2 linked regions of the Caenorhabditis elegans genome follow. The protein of the gene in region 1 interacts with the protein of each later gene in a pairwise test. Each region holds a gene or a part of one and is shown in the gene's direction. Other genes may lie near its edges. The genes, in order: rga-1 and papl-1.

Region 1 (6,329 bases):
ATCCAGACTTCCAGTGTATTGCTTTTTTGCCAGCTCGGAGGTCTTTTCTAGAATCGGTGTGAACACGTCAGTGTCAAAATTTGAAGTTTTGTTCTGGACAACTGATAGAAGACGTTCGAATCCCATTCCTGTGTCAATGTGGTTTTTTCCCAAATGTCGAATTTGACCACATGAATCTCTGACGCTGCTCATGAAGACAATATTCCAAATTTCTACAACTGAATCATCAATATTCACTAATCGAGAAGCATCTCTTCCGCCGATTCTATCATAATGAATCTCGGTGCAAGGACCACACGGACCAGCTGCACCCATCTCCCAAAAATTCTCAGCGACAAATGGAAGAATTCGATTTGACGATACTCCAATTCGTTTCCAAATTTCTCGACATTCACGGTCTTCCGGTAATCCGAGCTTCTCGATTCCACCGAAATAGGAAACATACAATCTATCTGCATTGATTCCTAGAATTTCCACCAAATATTCCCATGCATATCGACATGCTTCCTCCTGAAAGCAAATAAAATATTAGATATTCAGAGAGAAATGCGTCGTTAAACAACTTTTGAGAATGCATCATTGAACGACCAATTGCCCATCATTTCAAAAAATGTTTGATGATGTAAATCTTTTCCAACGTCATCGAGATCGTTATGTTTTCCTCCGGCTCTAATGCATTTTTGAATATTTGCAACTCTTCTAGATTCGGTTGATGATAGAATTAATGGCTTGAACTGATTCATTCCAGCATTTGTAAATAACAAGGTTCCATCGTTTTCGTCTGGAATTACAGATGAAGATCTGAGTATTTCGTGATTTTTCGATTTGAAAAATTCGTAGAAACTCTTGCGAAGCTGAAATAAACTATTAAAATGTTATTTCAACCGATTTAAAACTTACTTCCGAATGTGAATGATAGAATCCAAGTGAAATTGATTTCTGAATATTATTTTCCAATATTTTGGAGCCAATTCCCATCGCATTCCGGTTGAATACACGTTGAAAACGTTTTCAAAACGAAATAATTATTTAAGAGAAAATGTGCCGTAAATCTACACTGGCCTAGAACATGTTAGGCCATGGCCTAGAAAAGAAGCTGTTTTTTTTTGTTTTATTTTGTTTTAATTAAAAATTTAATTGTTTAATTCTCAAATATTTTTGATTCAATAGTAAACTGGTAATCCCCGTCGACCGTTTGCTGAATAAACACAAAATCCTCTCATTGAAATGACATTTTTGGCGAGCGCCGCGACCACTGGACACTATATTTGCGCTGTGTCGTGACCCCATATCAATTTCATTCATTCTCGCTCACAAAACAGCTGGCTAGACACAATAAATTCAACGAGAAAATATTCAGTGCTGATGGCAATCTGGGCTTTCTCTAAATCAATCCAAAAGAAAAAACGTCATCTTCCCTTGATACGAATCTCATAAAAACCGGCGCTGCTGTCAAATGGCGCGGCGGAGTGTTTCCTTCCTCTCCACTCTCTCTTTCTCTTTTTCAACATAAAAGCCGTTTGGTACATACTGCACTGTTCGTCCATTTCTTCCTCAATCTCCCTCGGTCTCTCCCCTCATAACCGTACCCTCTCTTCCGGTGTGTGTGTGTGTGTCTGCGTCTTGTTTTCCCTCACATCTCTCACCCAACACTTCTCACCTCACGCTGCAATCCATCTGACACATGTTTTCAAACATATTGATTGGTCATTATATATGCCTACTTATTATATGATATTTATTATACGAATCATTTTCTTAGAAACTTAAAATATTTCCAAATTCTCAAGTGTGTGTAGTCAATTACCTTGCCCCTGTCTTAATGAAAATTTCACTGTTAAGATTTTCAGCAAATGGACACGAAACATCCTCCGGATCCATCAGGTCCATCAGATCCCAACATAAATCTTGGAGAATTCGAAGATCCGGTGGATGGCTATGCCGATGATGACCTTCTCACACCGGATGACCTAAGCGGTAAGTGGAATAATAATTATTGATATTTAATTTAATAGAAAACTGGTTTATTTCAGTAAGTGTCACTGGAATGACGCCATCTCGATCGTTTCTGGAAACTGAAGAATTCGAGACAGAGCTTGGAGGTGTTGAACCGTTCGAAGATCTTTTCAACGACATATCAGCTCACGAAATTATTCAAGTAATTGCTGATGGGGATCGAGTTGGAAGGTAAATTAATTTGAATCCAAAAATTAATTATCTTTTTTGTTTTAATGAATCATAGTTTGCAGGCCAATTGTTGTCGTATATGCTTATCGGCTCCCATCAAGCAAGGAAATAGATCATGCCAGACTTCTACAGTATTTGGTACAAATTATTGATAAGGTTGGGAATTTTTAATAAATATAATATTTTGATAAAAATAAAATTTGCAATTTTCCAGATCGTTGACCAAGACTACACAATTGTCTATTTTCACTATGGCCTACGAAGTCACAACAAACCACCGGTACGGTGGCTGTTCCAGGCTTACAAACAACTTGATCGTAGGTAAGTATTTGAATTCAATTCATCTCTTCTCTTTCAAAAAAACCGGTTTCCAGATTCAAAAAGAACCTGAAAGCGCTCTACGTAGTGCATCCAACACGATTCATCCGCATTATCTTCTCGCTGTTCAAAGGTTTCATATCGAGCAAGTTTGAGAACAAGTTCCACTATGTCATGTGTATAGACGAGCTGGAGAACGCACTTTCAGTGGCAAGGTTCGTTTTTTCTTTTCTTATTTTTTAATTTTTTAAATTGTTATAAAAAAGATTATTTTCAGATTAAATCTTCCAAGTCCAATTCGAGATCATGATAAATCATTTTCAACTCAATCAAATCGACCTGAAACACCACCAGCTCAACCTCTGCCAACACAACAGTTTGGAGTTCCTCTCGAGTTGTAAGTCTTTATTCAATACAGTTCAAAAATGTCTAAAAACTAAAAAGAGTTCATAGTTTTTGTCCTGTTTGAACAACTGCTTTTCCCAAATTTGTTGAACGAAGCTGAAATTTAAAAGATATGTCAGAAAAAAAATATGCACAAATACCTCGGAAGTGAATTCCAATGTCCGTTTGGTTTCGGCAACATCACGAGGATTCGCATGAGCAATGAACATTGTTTTCGACGATCCTGCACCCAAATACTCGCGAAGCACCATTGTGAGCTTACTGTCACGATATGGAACATGCGACATCTTCGTCATTTGAGCTCGGATGCATTTTTTCAAAGTGCTCAAGCTCTGGTTGATGTTTGTGAGCTCGGTGAACTGCTTCCCACGAGCTTGCGTCTCCTTCGCCCGTTCGGAACCAGCCAAGTCCACCAAGTTGAGACAGCATTGAACCATCTCACCAGAGGCGTTTTGCCCATCAACGAAGATTTGGAAAATTGCATGAGATCTAGATGAATGCTCATTAGATGCTGTTGAAGCTACGGATCTTTGCGAATCGGCAAGATTCAGAATCACATCAACGTCGGAGATGTTTCCTATTTCGATTTTCTTCAGTCCAACTACATTCGTCTTCGATCCATTTATCTTTACCTGCAAAATATTGAAAATACAGATAATAAGATGAGATTATCTAACCTCCAACTTCTGCTTCCCATCCAACAAATCATAGACTTCTTCGTTATAAACTTCAATGAAGGATGCTTGGAATTTGTAGTTCCAACCAATCATCGCAAGATCTCTCTTTGATTGCTCCAGCATAAATCGAATAGCACGTGGAATGACTCCTTCCGAATCAGCACTATCTTCTCCTCGCATCGTGAAAGTCTTTCCACTTCCAGTTGGTCCGTAGGCGATGAGACACACATTTTTTCCATGAAGCGCACACATGATCAACTCCTTGATCTCACCGAAAACTCCGGATTGGGCGGTCGGAGGAAAGAAGACGTGCTCGAAACTGTAGGTGTTGGATTGGCCGGTGGTCTGAAAATATGTGCTTTAAACTTGAAGTATTAAAATCAAAAATTCGTACCTGCTGGAGTTGAACCTCATTTTGTGAGATGATGCTAAAGTTGGAAGATCCATCTCTCTCAAAATCTCTAACACGGATTGCCACGCGAATTTGGCCACGAAGATCAACAACTTCATCGTTGAGTTCACGAATGATGGCGTCCTTTTCAGCCATTTGGGTTTTAAAACAGTTGATAAGCTTCAGCTTTTCACGTTTCAAAGTTCGATTCTCCTGAATCAGCCTGTCATTTTCCATGTCTTTCTCCTTATTGTCATCTTCCAACTGCCGAAGTTTCAACTTAAGATCCGCCAATTCATTTCTCAAAGTCTTCACTTTTTGATCTTCAACTCTGGATACATCAGCGCAAGATGCTGACGGGAAAAGTGCCGATTCACGTCGTAGCACCTTATTCTGATTCTTTGCTTTATGCAATTGATTCTCGAGTTTTGGAATTGTGGCGGTTTTTCTCTCCAATTGCGCGATTTGATGTTTTAAATCATTAGTATGATTGTTATAAAAGTCTGAAATTATTATATATATATATAAACTAAAAATATTAAAAAATATAACAACTCACCATTTTTTATACGAACACCGTCCATTTGATTCGAACACCGACCAGTGAAAGATTCGGAAATAAATTCTAAATTCTAAACTCTAAGAAAATTCTTTTTTTTTTATTTAGAATTTTTTTTTTCCAATAAATTTCCCACGTTTTCCCAGAAATGTCATTCAAACGTGATTTTTATAAACTAAATTAATTAAATAAATAAATTAATTAATATTAAGATAAACAAATTTTCAGCATCCTGTCTCACTGTGGTGGAAACATCCCTCCAATCGTTGACCAGCTCATCGAGTATCTGGAAGCTCACGCGTTGACAATGGAAGGAGTTTTCAGGAAAAGTGCTAATATTGGAAGTATAAAGAGGCTACAGGATAGAATTAATAAAGGTATTTAATAGGCTAGGAAATTGAATTTTGATTTTGATTTTAATTTTAAATATTTGTTTCAGGCGAAAAAATTGATTTCGAAAATGATCCAGAGTACAAGGACAACGAATACGTGGCTTCCCTGCATGCTTCTGTACTTTTGAAGACGTTCTTCAGGAGCCTCGGAGAGCCCCTAACGACCAATAGGCTTTATCCGAAACTTGCGGCTCTTTCAGGTGAGAAAATATTTAAAGTCAATTGAAAACAGTGTTTATTTAATATCTGAATCTTTCAGAAGTATCGAAAACCGAGAAAAGCGCCGCCGTGAAAGAATTTGTGAAGCTTCTGCCTCGTGAAAACTACATTCTTCTGAAAACAGTCATCAAATTCCTAACTCGAGTCGCCGAAAACAGCAAAGTGAATCTGATGACTGCAAACAATTTGAGTGTCGTTTTCGGTCCAAATTTGACGTGGCCAACGGATCAAGAAGTGCCGATTTCTCAATTGAATAACCTCAATAACTTCTGCTATAAATTAATTGTGGATTATGATTCAGTATTTGATCATTGATCATTAGGGTGTTCAGCTTTTGCATTTTCCCCCGTTTTTCTGTACTTTTTTGCCTTACTGTAATTTATTTATTGCATCCATATTAAATAAAATTCAAAACACTTGTCATTTATACTAAAAATTAATTCACTGTATCCGTACTAAATCATATAAAACCGATGGTTTTCGACGATCACAAGAACATTTAGAAGTCAATAGATAATGAAGATCAATGATTTGTCGAGACGACGTTTACTTCTTTTCGGATTTGACGATGAGTGGGCCAACATTGTCGCCAGTCTCCTTGTTGTGCTTTCCATGTGATCCGTCACAGTATGGCCACTTCTCGCTCTTCCAGCATCTGCAGAATGCCTTCTTCTCTCCAATATCCTCAATATCGACGGTGTCGACGATCTTATTCGAGTCGAGCTGGATCTTGTAGTTGCAGCGAGCCGAACGCTGTCCGAACTTGTAACCAACCTGAAATTAATTAGTGAAATTGAAGAGGCTACATCAGGGGAAGGCTTGAACTTACAAGGTATCCAATAAGAGCTCCTCCCGCGAGAACGGCGGCAGTCGTGGCGACACAGCGACCAGAGACTTGAGTTGGGCAAGGCATGGTACCTGGAAAATTTAATTTAACAAAAAAAATTTAAGGAATAAGATTCAAGCGAAAAAAAATATATACGATTTATCATAAGGTAGATGCAAAATTTGGCGATTTTCGCATAAAAGTACAGTATCGGGTCTCGAAACGACCGCTTTGCTTTATTGGGAAAGAGTATGCGTCTTTAAGGAGTACTGTATCAATTTTCATAACTTTTTCAGAAGTGCTATCTTTTAAAATTTATGAGAGAATTCGCGAGTTGACAACTACAGTACTCTTT
Region 2 (4,664 bases), on another chromosome or scaffold:
TTTCTGGAGGACAAAAGTCGAGAGTAGCGTTGTGCAACTTGGCTCTTGGAGGTCCTGATATTATCATTCTTGATGAACCTACCAATAATCTCGATATTGAATCCATTGATGCTCTGGCAGAAGCAATCCGGGATTTCAATGGTGGTGTTGTGATGGTTACTCACGACGAGCGACTGGTTGTTCGAACGGATTGTAATCTTTGGGTTGTTGAAAATCAAGGAATTGATGAGATTGACGGAGACTTTGAGGACTACAAGAAGGAAGTACTTGATGCACTTGGAGAAGCTCTTGTTAGCAAGAAATAGTTTTTAAATTTCATTTAGTTGTTCTTCGTGATTTTGTTCCGATTTTTCGTTAATTTTTGCAATGTCTTGCTTCGGTGTCGTTTTTCTTTATAATATCAAGTTCACGTTTATTTTTATTGTTGGCATAAATAAACACACTTTTACATGGTCGAGTTGAACAACTCAAGTTTATAATGATTTCTGAATTTACAACAATACAAATCAATCTCGTCTTCGACATGAGCAGCGTTGAAAAACTTCTTAGGTATGATTCGGATTCATTATTATAATTATTATTGTCATAATAGATTTGAAGACAAGGACAAGTAAATCAAGAGGATCTTCTAACTGAGAGAGCAGACAATCTTCTCAATGAATTTATCCGTCCGGAAGATTCAACATATGGAGATACCAAAGGAAAGAAGGAAGAAACGAAAACTTCAAATACAATTAGAGTTAGAAGAACAATGGTAATTACGGATCATGAGTCGGTTAGGAAATTATTATTAAAATTAGAGACTTATCGTAAATTCGTATTGAATTGCAACGTCACCTTCAAGGTACATGCTATAATAAACACTACCGTAACCCTCAAAGGAACATACTCTTTCGAAGTTTTCAATTAAAAAGTTGTTGCGATCGTTTCGAGGCCGAGTTCCAAATTTCTTTAATGAACATATAATTCCACATTGGATATTTAATTTGAGAATCATATTTTCCAGATTAACTATAAAATTTCAGAGCTATTCTTCACGTGTTCTTCCCAATCATTGCATTCGGTGCTTCTCTTCTTCTGTTCATCCAAGTGCTCATTGCCATTGCAGCCGTCTACTATGGCTCTTAATGAACTTATTCTCTTAAATTTCTCAATAAATCAATTTCATTTTGTTCTTATCAGGAAATTGTGTGCTCTGCGAATAGACATGCACATGTACTGTCCGAATATAATCCGATTGATCACACTTCACGTTTCGTTCCTTTAGTTTCACATGTAACCATTTCATTTTTTGCAAGTCTAGTTTTTGATCGAAAAGTTGTGGCTTCACTGAAAATATATGCAAAGTTTTCCCAAAAAGTTATCCACTCTCAAATGCATTCGAGTACTTTTCACACTTTGTGAGGAACACTCCAAATATTGGTAATTTTGACTCAGTATTATAAAGTTGCAAAAATTGATAGGAATCTAGATTGTTCCAATTAATTAGAATGGAAACATTATGAATTCTCGTATCTTTTCTCATTATTCAGAAATTGAGTACAAAAATATGTATCAAAACTTTTTTGAACATTCATCAAAATTACCAAGAAAATTCTATTTTCAAAATATCATTTTACCAAGTATTTTTACAGCCTCACTTTTTACTGTCTTGTTTTGCTGCAAATTGTCGTTCTGAAATTAAAATATCTACTTACGATTTACTAATTTTTGTTTTTTTTTTAAATTCCAGATGAGTATTCACATAACATTAACAGTAATATCATTATTAGTCACGAAATGTATATCCGAAGGAACAACTCCTGATCAAGTTCACATTTCATTCACCGGAGATATGACAGAGATGGCTGTAGTTTGGAATACATTCTCAGAAGGTAATTATAGAACACTAGGCAAGGCTGCGAGTTAGTAGCTTTAATTTCAGTTTCACAAGATGTTACCTATGGAAAAACCGGAAGTGGTGCAACATCAACTGCCAAAGGATCTTCTGAAGCTTGGGTGTTCGGAGGAATCACTAGATATCGGCACAAAGCAATTATGACCGGACTAGAGTATTCAACAGAATATGGTGAGAAAATGCTTAACTTATTATCTAGAATTGACACTCTATCAGTAGAGTCAAACCGATTTTTCTTTTGTCAAATAAATAGTTAGAACATTTTAGAGATTAATCGTCTATTTTTCGAGGAGTTTTTATACGTTTACGGAAGTAGTAAAATTAATTCAATGTACTTTTGTTACAATATTCCACTATTTTAATGCGTTCCTTCATGCAATCGCGAAGGTGTCTGGAAATTAAAATTGCATGTCTTACTACTAAGTAATAGACAAAATAAATATAATTAGTCACCTTCCTACATTCAGATTATACCATTGCATCTAGAAAGTTCTCATTCAAGACACTCTCAAACGATCCACAATCCTATAAAGTTTGTGTATTCGGAGATTTGGGATATTGGCATGGAAACTCAACTGAAAGCATCATCAAGCACGGCCTTGCTGGTGACTTTGATTTTATTGTTCATCTTGGTGATATTGCATATGATCTGCACACAAATAATGGGCAAGTCGGAGACAGTTACTTGAATGTATTTGAGCCACTTATTTCAAAGGTGTGTTTCTTAATCGATTGTGAATTAATGCATACATTTTAATCTGAAAGTTTCCAGGTTCCTTATATGGTAATTGCTGGAAATCACGAAGACGATTATCAAAACTTTACTAACTATCAAAAACGATTCTCAGTTCCGGACAATGGTCACAACGATAACCAGTTCTATAGTTTTGATCTTGGACCAGTACATTGGGTTGGTGTGAGTACTGAAACCTATGGATACTATTATGAATATGGAATGGATCCCGTAATGACACAATATGATTGGTTGAAAAGGGATTTGACTGTAAGTTATATGGAATTATTTTTGGAGTAAAGAAAATTATCAATTTGAAATCATTATCAATTTTATTTTTAAAATTATCAATTTTAATATCATCAGGCAGATGAGAAGTGTCAGTGTATTTCAAATACTATAATTTTCAATTTTCCCAGACAGCAAATTCAAATCGTGCAGCGCATCCATGGATCTTTACCTTCCAACATCGACCATTCTACTGTAGTAATGTGAACTCCGCTGAATGTCAATCGTTTGAAAATCGATTGGTGTGATGGAGTAAATTGTTTAATTTGGCTAATATGTCTGGTATTTAGGTTCGTACCGGTTGGCTGGATATGCCAGGATTAGAACCACTCTTTTTACAAACTTCCGTTGATTTTGGCTTCTGGGGGCATGAGCACTCGTATGAAAGATTCTACCCAGTTGCAGATAGAGCTTATTGGAATGATGTAAGTTTAACCAAAATTCAAAAACTTGATTATTAAAATTTATAGCCAAATGCTTACATTAACCCAAAAGCTCCAGTTTATTTGATTAGTGGATCAGCAGGTTGTCATACTCCAGATGCACTTTTCACTGATAAACCATGGCCATGGAGTGCTGCAAGAAATAATGATTATGGATGGTCTATTGTGACAGTTGCAAATAGAACACATATTAGAGTTGAACAAATTTCAATTGATAAAAATGAGCAGACTGTTGATGACTTTTGGGTTATTAAAGATGAAGGCCATATGCATTCTGGTGAGATGAGGTTAGTAGAGTTGGCTTTGAAAAAAGTTCCAAAAATTACTGTTTGTAGAAGAGCAAATCCAGGAGCAAAGTTTCCACTTCAAAAATGCCATTTCAAGGATGTCGCCTGTAAACGATCATTGAAGGAAATTAACGAAGAACTTTAAATTTTGTAAATAAATTAAAAATAAGAGCTTGTATAAAATATCTCTATTCATTTTTATGATTTTCGAAAAAAAAATAAAAGGCAGAGTAGAGTTTGTGGGAAATATGTAGCAAAAAATAAAAATAAACTTTATCAAAAATTTCAAGTTGTCAAATGCCAGTATATTTGAAACTTAAATTTTCGTTGCCGAGGTTATTCAGGTCCAGCAAAGTTTGGTATTTTGGGAGGTTCCCGAATGCGGCAAATTTGATTGGCCGTGGTGATGGCGTCAGTGTTCAAAATAGAAATTTCATATTTGTATGTGGTTTCCTAGATTTCTTCTTTTTGATTGCATGCATTGACGTATTTGTGAGAGCAGTTCCGTGGGAGTTTCTAGACAATAATATCAAGCTGTTGAATTGAATTTTGCAAATATGATATACATTAAAAATTTGAAACTTGCACACTCCAGACTGAACAGATTAAAATTAATGATGTGAGTTTCAGGTACAATAGGTATTTTCTATTTAAGAAATTATGAAACCGTACGCGGTAATACAACATATGAGTCAGAATAACTTCCATAGAGGGCGCGTCATTAACAATTTTGATTTTTTCTTCTTTTTCCAGATTTATACTCTAATTTTTCAAATACTTACGTCATCATAACTTTAATTTGATATATAAATACAATGCGTTGTATGTATATAGTCAGAAATATACATTTTGTGAACATATAACTAGAGAAAGATAGAATGGAATACAAGTGTAGAATATGGACTATACTTCAGATATTTTTTTTAACTTATAGATTTTGTTTAATTTACAGTTTTTGTCCAAAAATGACAATTTCCTCTTTTGATTGCATTTAGATATAATTTGCAGGGATCTAA

The links.
Region 2: the proteins of rga-1 (region 1) and papl-1 interact in a two-hybrid assay, tested with the Caenorhabditis elegans proteins (one large-scale study listed by BioGRID).

What each region holds. Positions count from the first base shown.
Region 1 is NC_003280.10:11,463,044-11,469,372, forward strand, and holds rga-1 (Rho GTPase-activating protein 68F), read left to right. Parts: upstream 1-1,850; 5' UTR 1,851-1,853; coding exon 1,854-1,977; intron 1,978-2,033; coding exon 2,034-2,187; intron 2,188-2,249; coding exon 2,250-2,343; intron 2,344-2,401; coding exon 2,402-2,508; intron 2,509-2,561; coding exon 2,562-2,720; intron 2,721-2,782; coding exon 2,783-2,902; exon of another isoform or gene 2,903-2,952; coding exon of another isoform or gene 2,953-3,006; intron 3,007-3,050; coding exon of another isoform or gene 3,051-3,542; intron 3,543-3,587; coding exon of another isoform or gene 3,588-3,932; intron 3,933-3,981; coding exon of another isoform or gene 3,982-4,481; intron 4,482-4,537; coding exon of another isoform or gene 4,538-4,562; exon of another isoform or gene 4,563-4,582; intron 4,583-4,765; coding exon 4,766-4,914; intron 4,915-4,976; coding exon 4,977-5,129; intron 5,130-5,188; coding exon 5,189-5,463; 3' UTR 5,464-5,610; downstream 5,611-6,329. Other genes in the region: aars-1 (Alanine--tRNA ligase, mitochondrial), read right to left, coding at 1-510, 564-854, 901-978; klp-17 (Kinesin motor domain-containing protein), read right to left, coding at 2,953-3,006, 3,051-3,542, 3,588-3,932, 3,982-4,481, 4,538-4,562; cisd-1 (CDGSH iron-sulfur domain-containing protein 2 homologue), read right to left, coding at 5,695-5,922, 5,978-6,066.
Region 2 is NC_003283.11:12,756,829-12,761,492, reverse strand, and holds papl-1 (Purple acid phosphatase), read left to right. Parts: upstream 1-1,732; coding exon 1,733-1,874; intron 1,875-1,924; coding exon 1,925-2,068; intron 2,069-2,364; coding exon 2,365-2,612; intron 2,613-2,669; coding exon 2,670-2,900; intron 2,901-3,049; coding exon 3,050-3,160; intron 3,161-3,208; coding exon 3,209-3,343; intron 3,344-3,388; coding exon 3,389-3,648; intron 3,649-3,696; coding exon 3,697-3,793; 3' UTR 3,794-3,928; downstream 3,929-4,664. Other genes in the region: abcf-1 (ABC transporter domain-containing protein), read left to right, coding at 1-305; F18E2.15 (uncharacterized protein), read left to right, coding at 524-549, 601-754, 1,026-1,145.